Drosophila melanogaster: one gene and its partner. The protein of the gene in region 1 interacts with the protein of each later gene in a pairwise test. Each region holds a gene or a part of one and is shown in the gene's direction. Other genes may lie near its edges. The genes, in order: dnk and fal.

Region 1 (4,207 bases):
AAGTCAATTGCTTATATGGTCTAAGGCTTCCAAAGCTTCAGCAGGCCGTCCTCACTGTAGCTGGCCAGTAGATTTTGATGCGGATGATGTGTCAGGCCAATGACGTCCTTTTCATGAACCTATGGAATAAATATCACGTTTAAAGTCAGTTTGAAAACAAATAGTTTAAAGAGCAGCTTACGTTCAAAGTACGTTCAAGTTTACCGGAGGAGACGGAGAAACAGTAAAGCACCTGATCCTCTCCAGCGCAGTATATGAACTCTCCTCGCGGCGAAAGAGTGGCTGAGATAAAGGCACCGCCCTCGCGCTTACCCGACGAGAAGGATCGCACAATCTGGCCCTGCATGTTCATAATGACAACCGTATTGGATCTGTTGCAGACAATGAAGTGTTCGGGATTCTTGGGCAGAATGAGGACTGTGTTTACGGCCAACTCGTTGCCAAGGGGCTTGTACGTGGCCACGCACTCGGTCGTTTTAAGGGACCAAACCTTTACTGTGCCGTCGGAAGATGCGCTGAGCACGCTGTGTCCGTCAGGCGTAAAGGTGGCTTCGTTCACAAAGGAGGAATGCCCCTTGAACTCCTTCAGCATCTTTCCCGACTTCAGCCCGTGCAGTCTCACCGTGTAGTCGAAGGATGCGCTGAGTACCTGGCTGTTATCTCGCGAGAACTGCAGACAGGTTATTCCCTTGGTGTGGGCTTTCTCGAATTTACGCAAACACTGACCGGTGATGATGCGCCACACCTTGATTTGGCCATCCTGTGCGCCCGATGCCACCATCTCGGAATCTCGTGAGAAGTTCAACGCCAGCACCGCCTGTTCCATCATCATGAACTGGTCCTGCGCCTGGTACTTCAGATCCTTTCTCACCTTGCCGGTGGTAAAGTTCCACACCTCAAGGAAACCGTCCACACTGCCCGTTATCAGATACTGACCATCCGGCGAGAACTGAGCGCACTCAACGTGCGACTTTTGGCCAAATTTGATTTGTCGGAACAGCTGGGTGGGATACATTTCTTCTTCCTGGTCCTTCATCGCCGCCTTGCCGCGGAACAAATCAATGGTGGTGCCGGGCGGAAGGAGTCCCTGGTGCTGTTGCCATTTAAGAGCCTGTCCCAGGAGTGCCAAGAGCCTGGAGGAGGGCACCACATGCACCTCGCCACTTAGCTCTTGGGCAATGACCGTGCGCCGCTTTTCCTTGCTACTTCCCTCTGCATAGGCTTCCCTGGGATCGAAGTAAGCGCGCTGCAGCATGTTTTCTACAGACAAATATACCAATTAGGAATCACGAACTCTAGTGAAACCTTAGAATGGCTTATATTTTACCCAAATGGATGTATCGTTCGGGCTCCTGCTGCTTCAACATGGTCATGGGATCCGTCTGGCGGAGCAGAGATCTTGCTGCGCCCAGTTCTCTGAGCTCGATCAGCTCCAAGACTATTTGCTCGTATAGATTGAGCAGCTTCTTATCCGGTAATTTGAGAGACTGGGTCACTTTTAGCACGGTGTCCCAGTGCCCGTTGGAGATATCCTGCACAAAGCCATCCACGCTGTCCACCGTATTCAGGGAGACACCCGTTTCCTCCTGAAAGTTTAAGATCATTGAAAGACAAACTCTCTCCGCGGTGTGTAAGTACTAACCTGTAACGTTTGCAGGGTCTTCATAAGGTTGGACTCCTTCAGATACTGCTGGATGAGCCGAATCACACTTTGTTTGGGGGGGAAATCACGGATCTAGTAAAAACTGAGTGGTGTTGGTCGATTTACAGTACTTACTCCGCTGATTCGATTTCTATGGACATCGTAAACTAATTTCCCGGTTTAAGATTCCTTTTAAAAATAAGTTTTAATACAGGTTTATAAAAATGTACAATAATATTGATAAAAAATGCGTCGTCGTAGGGATGGCGAAAAACAGATACTATGCACAGAACAGCTGACCGTTATCGTTATCGCCGACAGCTGATTCTCAGTATAGGCAAAAAGAAAATTCATTTCACAACGTTAAATAAAATAAATAAGAGGCCATAAAAGTTGTGAGCAATAAATGTTTAATTTTATTGCTATCAGTGGTATTTGTATTTAATAAATTTGTAAAAACAGCAATGTCCAGCAAGCACATGTGGCAGAAAAACATTATATCATTAATAGGTAATTCAACCAGCATTGGCTTAAACTTTAAGTTTTTGTAAAGATGTATGTAAAAACATTACCGGCAATAGAATAGACACACACACACACACACACACAGTTACCGATCAGCCGGTTGACAAAAACAAGCATAACGATAGGTAACACCGATTAAAAAAAAAAGAAACAAATGGCGATGTTCCCGCTCTTTTTGTTTTTCGGCGGTAAACGATCTGACCAGGCGGGTTGAATCAGTCACCATATTCCCGCCGCCGTGTACAGTACTCCATCGAATCCGGAACAATCAACTTCAACCGCGATCCGTTGCTGCTGTGCTGTACCTAAAACAGTTAGTAAAACTCCCAATCTCACGTGCAGATCGCCGATTATCCGGACTGATGGCGGAGGCAGCATCCTGTGCCCGAAAGGGGACCAAGTACGCCGAGGGCACCCAGCCCTTCACCGTCCTCATCGAGGGCAACATCGGCAGCGGGAAGACCACGTATTTGAACCACTTCGAGAAGTACAAGAACGACATTTGCCTGCTGACCGAGCCCGTCGAGAAGTGGCGCAACGTCAACGGGGTAAATCTGCTGGAGCTGATGTACAAAGATCCCAAGAAGTGGGCCATGCCCTTTCAGAGTTATGTCACGCTGACCATGCTGCAGTCGCACACCGCCCCAACCAACAAGAAGCTAAAAATAATGGAGCGCTCCATTTTTAGCGCTCGGTGAGTGCATTATTCCCGTCGTCCGGTTTGACCAGAAACGCTAAACGAAACTTATCCATTACCCATCGCGCCGCAGCTATTGCTTCGTGGAGAACATGCGACGAAACGGCTCGCTGGAGCAGGGCATGTACAATACGCTGGAGGAGTGGTACAAGTTCATCGAAGAGTCCATTCACGTGCAGGCGGACCTCATCATATATCTGCGCACCTCGCCGGAGGTGGCGTACGAACGCATCCGGCAGCGGGCTCGTTCTGAGGAGAGCTGCGTGCCGCTTAAGTACCTTCAGGAGCTGCATGAGTTGCACGAGGACTGGTTGATACACCAGAGACGACCGCAGTCGTGCAAGGTAGTTTCTACACAAGCTCACATCTACCGAAGCCGCTAAATATGCATTTTTCCTCAGGTCCTAGTCCTCGATGCCGATCTGAACCTGGAAAACATTGGCACCGAGTACCAGCGCTCGGAGAGCAGCATATTCGACGCCATCTCAAGTAACCAACAGCCCTCGCCGGTTCTGGTGTCGCCCAGCAAGCGCCAGAGGGTCGCCAGATAACCATTATCCCATTAGTACCTAATTGTGTGTAGTACAGACGTTTAAAATAATATTATAAGAGGCCTAGACGAGCCGATTCGCGGGACAAAGGCAGAAACTTACACTTCGAGCCAATGATTAACACATTCGTATATTAACAATTATAATCCACATTATATTCTCTTCACAGCAACTAGTATGTAAGCTCAAAATATTGTAATAAAAACTGTGAATGTTTATGTTAAAGGCAAGGCACCTACTATTTTTGTGTTAGCATTTCAGTTCACTTGCATTTTAACTATATTGTGTTGGACAATGAAATCATTAAATGCCTTCTCTAGCATTGATTTTTGTTATCTTTTTCTGAAGCGGGGTTTTTTAAAGTCATAATAATGTGTGCACCGTAAAAGCGGCGTGATCTTATGCCTGCTGAACTCTAATGTGACTGCATGCGCTTCTCATTACTGACCTAAATATATATACTTTATTTCTCTATTGACTTCCACCCACAAAGACAACCATTTGTTGAGTCAACTTGCTTTATATAAATGTATATAATTAATTGTTTTCGCTATCGGGCTTACTTAAATGCTACAGCTTAATTAGGACATCGCAAGGAGAGCACTCCATCTGTGCTGTGAACGTTGATGCCGTTCCTGAGGGCGTTCACTTGGGTCCGTTCATGATTCCTGGACGGACGCCGGGTATAGTGCCCAGTGGAGGCGGTGGTCCCATCATGGCCATGGGATTCATAATCGGTGGCGGACGCATGCCCATCATGGGGTTCATCAGTGGAGGCATATAGGGCATTCC
Region 2 (6,830 bases), on another chromosome or scaffold:
CGATTGGAGAGAGGCAAACTCAGGAGAGAGCAAATTTTAAGCACTGGGTGGTGGCCGCCAACATGGAATGAATTTAAAAAAGGTTATATTTAGTATTTAATGAAATATATATAATAATATATATTTATCCAGAAAGAATACCTCTAGCTTCTTTAAGCCCAAGGTAAATTATATTTAATCGCTTTAAAATATCGAAATCATTTTAACCTTTATTGTGGCCTATAAAAAGATAACGTTAGAACAGAAATATATTTTTTATCGAGTATATTACCACTGTGCAGCATTTGTTTGCATTTTGACTACGCTCTTGATTTCTCCCAGTGATATCTCTCCATATTGGCTCTCTTTATCGCTTCACTCAGTCAAGTGTGGAGCCGGCTTTTTTTTTAAATTCCTGTTTTTTGTTTATATTGGCATATCAAAATTGTTTGTCCAATGCTTGTTTTCGTTTCATTGTTTTATTAATTGCTCTTGTTCAATTTTTCGTTTACCTATCTGGGGTTGAGTATTTCACTTACACACTGAAGATAAACTGCGGCACAGATACAAATGTATCTTAGTGCGAATTGTATGTGTTCTCTGTTATTCTTTAAGTGCGTTGACTGTCGGGAGTATTCTACGAGGAGATGCAGAAACTGCAATGCAACCTAAAATGAAATTGCATTTATTTAGGCTGCAGATAAAGATACAAAGATACATTCTCTTTGCCGCGAATCTGTTAGCCTCTCTTTGCGTTTTCCTCTTGTCCTGAAGAGAAATCAGTGTGCTACTTTCATCTGTAGGTCAGCGGCAACTTTCGCTTTCACTTCAGTGCGACGGCGCTCTCAGCAAAAGCAATTTCCACGCTAAGTGAGCCACGTGCCAGCCCCCCGCCTATCCCCGGAAAATATATCCCGCAGAATCTGATGTTGAAAGAATGGGAGCTACCTATTATTCGGTATAAATCAGTGTTTTTATCACATGACATTTAATTAACTGTAATTTAATTTTGAAATTCGGGTGTGTTAATCAAAAACTACATGAAGTCATTTTTTATTTTTCTTGTCAAGAGTATCACTTAAAAATAAAATGTATTTCATTTAAGAATGGGGTTTGCCATGATTAGGTATGTGGTTTAGTTTTAAAATAGCTTTTTTTGTAAGTGCACTAAGTCGGATATATCACGAAAAAAATTATTAAATATTAAATAAGCTTTAGCGAATACTGCGTGAACATTTAATAGATAAGCTGAAAACTTTGAATGCTATAGATTATCCCTTTTTTTAAGGCCTTAAGATAATTAATAGAACTGTCTATGGGGCGTTCTGTATGTGCTACAAGGTGTTTTTGGTATACCGATAGAAATTGGCAATAAATCCATTAAAACACAAAAAAATCAAAATATTTTTCAAAAGTGTGGGCGCGGTATTTTTGGGTTTTGTCAAATCGATAGAAATTTAATAATATTAAAAAATATCGTAACATTTTTAAAAAGTGTGGGCGTTATAGTGGGGGCGTGGCAACATTTATAGTTCCTGAAATCTGTGCGTTTATACGGACGGACATAAAAAACGACATGAACAGATCGACTATGCTATTGATCCTAATAAAGAATGATTTCAACGAATCTAGTATACTACCTTTTATACTACGATTAACGAGTATAGAAATGCTTGTAGTATTTCCATCCAGAATTCCCTAATTCTAAGGATACATAGCGCTGCCATCCCTTTTTCAAGGATGTTGGGAGCTGCCATCCTGACTGTTGGGGATGAGTACTCAACTCTAATCGATAAATCAGCATTGGCAGATATCTAAAAAGCGGAGACACACACCTTAAAACCAAGTTTCGCCGCACTCCGCATAGGTGGCGCATGCCTCTCTGCCAAAATATATTAAAAACTCTTAATTTCTAAATTACCTTTAATGTTTTCTCTACATACTTTACAAAAAGTGTATTATTAAATTTAACAATGAAGTGATACTGGCACATATTTTGTATTTTTTCTACATTCGCGTCTACGTCAAAATGAATAGCTTTACCGTTTGAAAGCGTCGCCATTCCTGTGCAGCTTTTATCGCATCCCTGGTCGATAGCTGCAATCAGCTGTGCGCTACCATCGCCAAATTTACAGTTGTGTACGTTCTGCTTGACGAATCGGAGTCGCTATAAAATGTAAAAAAATACCCGGATGTTATATATTCGCACAAATCGGCGGGAAGACAGCCTTCAAGACGTCGTGCTGTGCGCATTTTCGGGTTTGCTTCGGACGCGGATTGTCGATAAGCAGGAATCCAATTAGAATGTCAGCCAGCGCAGTGATTCACTCCCTCGCTCAGCGACGGCGCTCTCTTTCTCTTCCCCTCTCCAACGAACCAAAGAACTCGAAACTCCCGCTTTCCCAACAACAACTACAACAGCAGCAGCATGGACACCACGAACAACAACAACGCCCATCTGTGAGTTAACCGTTTGTTATGGGTTGCTAGTGAAGCATGACAGCTGATTGCACTTGCAAAAAAAGAGCGCATTAATAGCTCTTGACCTACTAAACTTTGCGCATTGCGTGAGGCTTATAAATTAGTTGCACTAGTGTAATGCTACAATCTGCCACATATTGTAAAATAAATAATGAAGTACTAAGTCATGGCACATCAATATGTTGAGCACATCAATGTTTTAGCAATAACGTATTTTTCAGTCGCCTTTGTAATCAAATGGTTGTTATAAACTTTCTTCTATTCAAAACCGTACGCTAATCTATTACTGCGGAAATTTAATAAAAATCACTAGCTTAAAAAGGAGCGTAAATTATCTGGGTTGGAAATCTAAAGTATTTTGGTAATTCGAAAGCTGGATTCTTTTAAAGACTTTTCCCCACCATTTAGTTTCTTCCCCAAGTATTAAAAATATAAAGATTTTAATTGGTCTCCATAACATTGCTGCCATTTTAAAATTAAAAAATTTTTGTAAATATAAACATCAGAAAATCAAGAGCTTTATGAGAAACGTGTAAACTTAATGCTGTGCCAAAACTTGATTTTGTTCTTGAGTTCAAGAATACAGAGCTTATGTACCAAACTATCAAGCTCCAGTTCTAGTTCTAGTTTGACCGTTGATAGAGGTGCAGTTGCAAGACAACTTACGTTTCTCTCATTATTATTATTCAAGAAGAAAATGTATGACATATAACTGTTACAAACACTGTTTAAATTAATATTTGTAGAATGCTATGTGGTTTCATTTCGAACACGAATTTTAGAATGGACTTTAGATCTTTTCTATTATGTGGAATCCCCCATTTTTTGGTACTTTGATAGGGTTATATTTATTTTGCTATGTTTGTTGAGAAAGATAAGAAAGTTCCGCAAATAACTCTACTACCACATAAAGTTATTATCAGCAGGTTATACGTTACACGATCCAAACACTTTTTTTTTATATATATTTTCATAAATTAAAGTGACCCATGATTTAAAGTATTACTCTGATTTAAATTTAAGTGCAGACAAAAATAGTACAAACTTCGTCGACATTCTGACAAAAATGAAAATACTTGCTAACTTGATCCTCGCACTTCCTCTGGGAAGCAACAGTCCGTGTCCATATCCATTGAAGCTGTTAAAAAACCATCGTTTGAAGATCCGCCCAGCGACTGTGAGAAATGAGTGTTTGAACCAATGTGGATTGTTTTAAGATTGAATATTGCAGATCGGCACGGTTGTGACATTGATAACAGCAATTGTTGTTGCTGTATTTAACAATAATGCCGCTTACATGTTGTCGAAAAATGAGAAGCTGGTTATCGCATCCTTGATTTACATGCTGATTGTTAATTTACTAATTTTTTGCAAGCCGGCAAGCATTCTGGTTTTAATGACTTTGTATGCAGCAGCCCAAGTGCTAACCCTTCCATATTGGTAAGACCGATCTATTTGTATACAAATCATTTTGAAATCATACTCGTCCGTAGTGTCCTGCTCATCCTTAACATCCGCCGGATGATCGATGGCCAGCTCGAGAGGCAGGAGTGTGCTATGGCCGCCCTGGGGCTTGTTCCAGACATAATAGGCCTAAGTCTCTTTATAGTCTCCATGTGCCTGGGTGGAGGATTCGGAAGCTCCGAAGGAAGTAGCAGTGGAAGTAGCAGTGGAGGTAGCAGTGGGGGTAGCAGCAGTGGCTGTAGCACCGGTACTGGTGGCAGGTAGCCTTACTTCTGTGATGTACCTAAATTATATGTATATCCCATCTTTGGCCCACAAATAATAATAATCTACATAAGAAGTAAAGGGATAATTTTAATTATTTGGGTCAGGCAGAGTAAGCCATATAGAATATGGCTCTTGCAATAAGTTTCTTTGCTTTTGAACTTTGCTTAAAACTTTTATCACGTTTATTTCCTTTAGATGCTTATTGAGGATGAGGTTCACGGTGTAATCGAACTGTCGAGCCATATCCAAGAGATCGTCGAGCATCCACTCTTCCAGCGCCTCAAACATGTCCACCAGTTGGGTCTCCTTCCGTGGGCCATCGATAAGAAGGCCGATCACAAGCGATACGATCATTGCCTTGGGTAAGAAACACAAGAAGTAATATTGATTTATAAGTAAACTTTGTTTTTTTTTTTTTAATCTTAGAGCCTACAAAAGCGCGCAGGATCACCTTAGGGCCATCGAACGTAATTCGCATTACGAGCCAAAGCTTCCGGATTGGTGTCGTCAGGCGGTGGAGATAGCCGCTCTCCTTCACGACATTGGTCACGGACCAATGTCACATGCCTGGGAGTTGGTGACCCACCATGAATTTGATGTAAGTTATCTGTACTGGCACCCCTAGCAATTCCTGAGGTGGTCAACTGATATTCCTGTTTCTATTATAGCACGAGGAAAACGCAATGGCCTGTGTGGATAAAATTTTTAAGGATGCCCTCAATCAGGAGCTAGTCTCCTTGAGAGATGATGGTGGCGGGCGAGGTGTTCAATTGATAAAGGCTTTGATATTGGGATCCAGTGAGAATCTGCCGTTCCCCATGCTGGGACATACCTACATCTTTGATATTGTGCATAATCGTCGCTGCGGATTGGATGTGGATAAATGGGATTATCTGCGGCGTGATAACAAGCGCCTGAAAATACTCAGCTCTGCGGAAATGGACTTTGATGATGTATTTCTTCAGGCTCGCATATCACCTGATGGTCAACGCATAGAGTATCGTTATGCTGACTATCATCGGGTATATCGCTTGTTCGAGGCGCGATCGCTGCTCCACGTAAAGGCCTATCAATATCCGCTAACTTGTGCCATGGATGTTATTTTTGTCAGTGTAGTACAACGTATTGCTCCAGAACTACTAAGTATTCGCTCAAAGGATCCAAAGTGGCTGGAATTGACCGACGAGTATGTTTTAAATGTCATTGAAAAGGATCCTATATCGAGATATGTAAAAGAACCTCATCGACTCGTAGAAGTCCCCAGCAACGACTGTTCCGGATCGGACATCATACGGGTGAACAGGGTCATACCTGGACCTTGGGAGCTTATAAAATCCGCAAGGGAGTTAGCTTTCTTTGGCAATAAGCGGTATACATATGTTTACTCCGATAACTATAGATCACGAGTTAATTATTTTTATTTCCAGCAAGAAGCGTCCAATTACCCGATGTGTAAGCCCGACGATAGTCAACAAGTGCTTTAAGTTAGAGTAGAAACATCCACCAGAGAATAGTTCATGTTAAGTCAACAAACAAACGTATGTTATTGTTTCCATTCGCTTCGTTTTCTTATATTTAATAAACTATATTTCATAAAAAGATGTACAAATACTCCAACGGTTGCGTTCGTAGTGCGGCCATTCTTATTGCCATTTACATTTTGTTATCCAGCATAGTCGTTGAGTTTTTTTTAGTTATTTAATGTTCTTTATTTTTATTTTTCGTTTCCATTTATAGTTAAAACTGTGAAATCAGTGGAAAGACAATATGTTCTTAAAATATTCATTTATTAGTTTATACAGTGTTTATCATAATCGACTTAAAACTAAAATACTAAACCAAAAATTTCAACAGTTCACTTGAAGACATCACAATTCAAACTCAGGTCTTTATAACATAAGGTACTTACTAATCTATATAAATATAAGATGCATTTGTCATATTTTTGATAACCGCTTTGAAATATACACAAGAGAAAACAATAATGGGGAACTTAGCTGACTACAGGTTTCGAGTACGATTTTGTTTATCATATTTGTTCCTACAATTTGTTCGTGATTTGTGAAGAGTACAGTTCAATTGCCAATCAGGCCGGGCAGATGTGCTGAGTCTGTTATAATCCGCTGTGGTAAGTGGGCAGCCAGATATTGTTTGTGGAGTCTCTGGCGGCAAAATTGATAGAACTCAATCTCGTTCGTAAAGTTCCGACGCACTATGTCCTTCACATGCTCGCTGACCGGCGGCTTGAAGTTGTTCTTGTTGATCTTCGTCAAGTACTCTGCGCTGGCTAAAATGGGAATTTTAAACAAATACATGAGTCAGGAATTGTGTACCATTAAGATGGTTGTAGCTCAGTTTTGCCAAGTTCACAGAACGATATCAATTGTAAGTGTGATACAACATTGTATACGTAGAGCACAAGTGGCTTTATAACTTAATACTTTGTACTACATTGAAGTGTAAAATGAAAACAAAAGCATTGAACAAATATTTTTAGATTCGACTTCAATGTAGGTGACGCTGAGCTTCATTACTATCAACTTACTTGCATAAATATCTCGAACGCCCTCAAAGAACCGTGGTACATATTTTTCAAGTACTGAGAGCGTGGTGTTCAGATCCTCCAGCACTCCAACCAC

What was found.
Region 2: the proteins of dnk (region 1) and fal interact in a two-hybrid assay, tested with the Drosophila melanogaster proteins (2 studies listed by BioGRID).

What each region holds. Positions count from the first base shown.
Region 1 is NT_033777.3:18,979,043-18,983,249, forward strand, and holds dnk (deoxyribonucleoside kinase), read left to right. Parts: upstream 1-1,952; 5' UTR 1,953-2,152; intron 2,153-2,214; exon of another isoform or gene 2,215-2,282; intron 2,283-2,381; exon of another isoform or gene 2,382-2,509; 5' UTR 2,510-2,529; coding exon 2,530-2,861; intron 2,862-2,937; coding exon 2,938-3,208; intron 3,209-3,265; coding exon 3,266-3,415; 3' UTR 3,416-3,707; downstream 3,708-4,207. Other genes in the region: Smu1 spliceosomal factor, read right to left, coding at 21-119, 182-1,260, 1,328-1,586, 1,643-1,709, 1,778-1,803; snRNP-U1-C (small ribonucleoprotein particle U1 subunit C), read right to left, coding at 4,061-4,207. UniProt on the Drosophila melanogaster protein: Deoxyribonucleoside kinase that has a broad specificity phosphorylating thymidine, 2'-deoxyriboadenosine, 2'-deoxyribocytidine and 2'-deoxyriboguanosine. Specificity is higher for pyrimidine nucleosides.
Region 2 is NT_037436.4:19,292,660-19,299,489, forward strand, and holds fal (falten), read left to right. Parts: upstream 1-1,904; 5' UTR 1,905-2,439; exon of another isoform or gene 2,440-2,539; intron 2,540-3,483; exon of another isoform or gene 3,484-3,637; intron 3,638-3,691; exon of another isoform or gene 3,692-3,900; intron 3,901-3,953; exon of another isoform or gene 3,954-4,184; intron 4,185-4,386; coding exon 4,387-4,553; intron 4,554-4,617; coding exon 4,618-4,789; intron 4,790-4,859; coding exon 4,860-5,560; intron 5,561-5,618; coding exon 5,619-5,685; 3' UTR 5,686-6,171; downstream 6,172-6,830.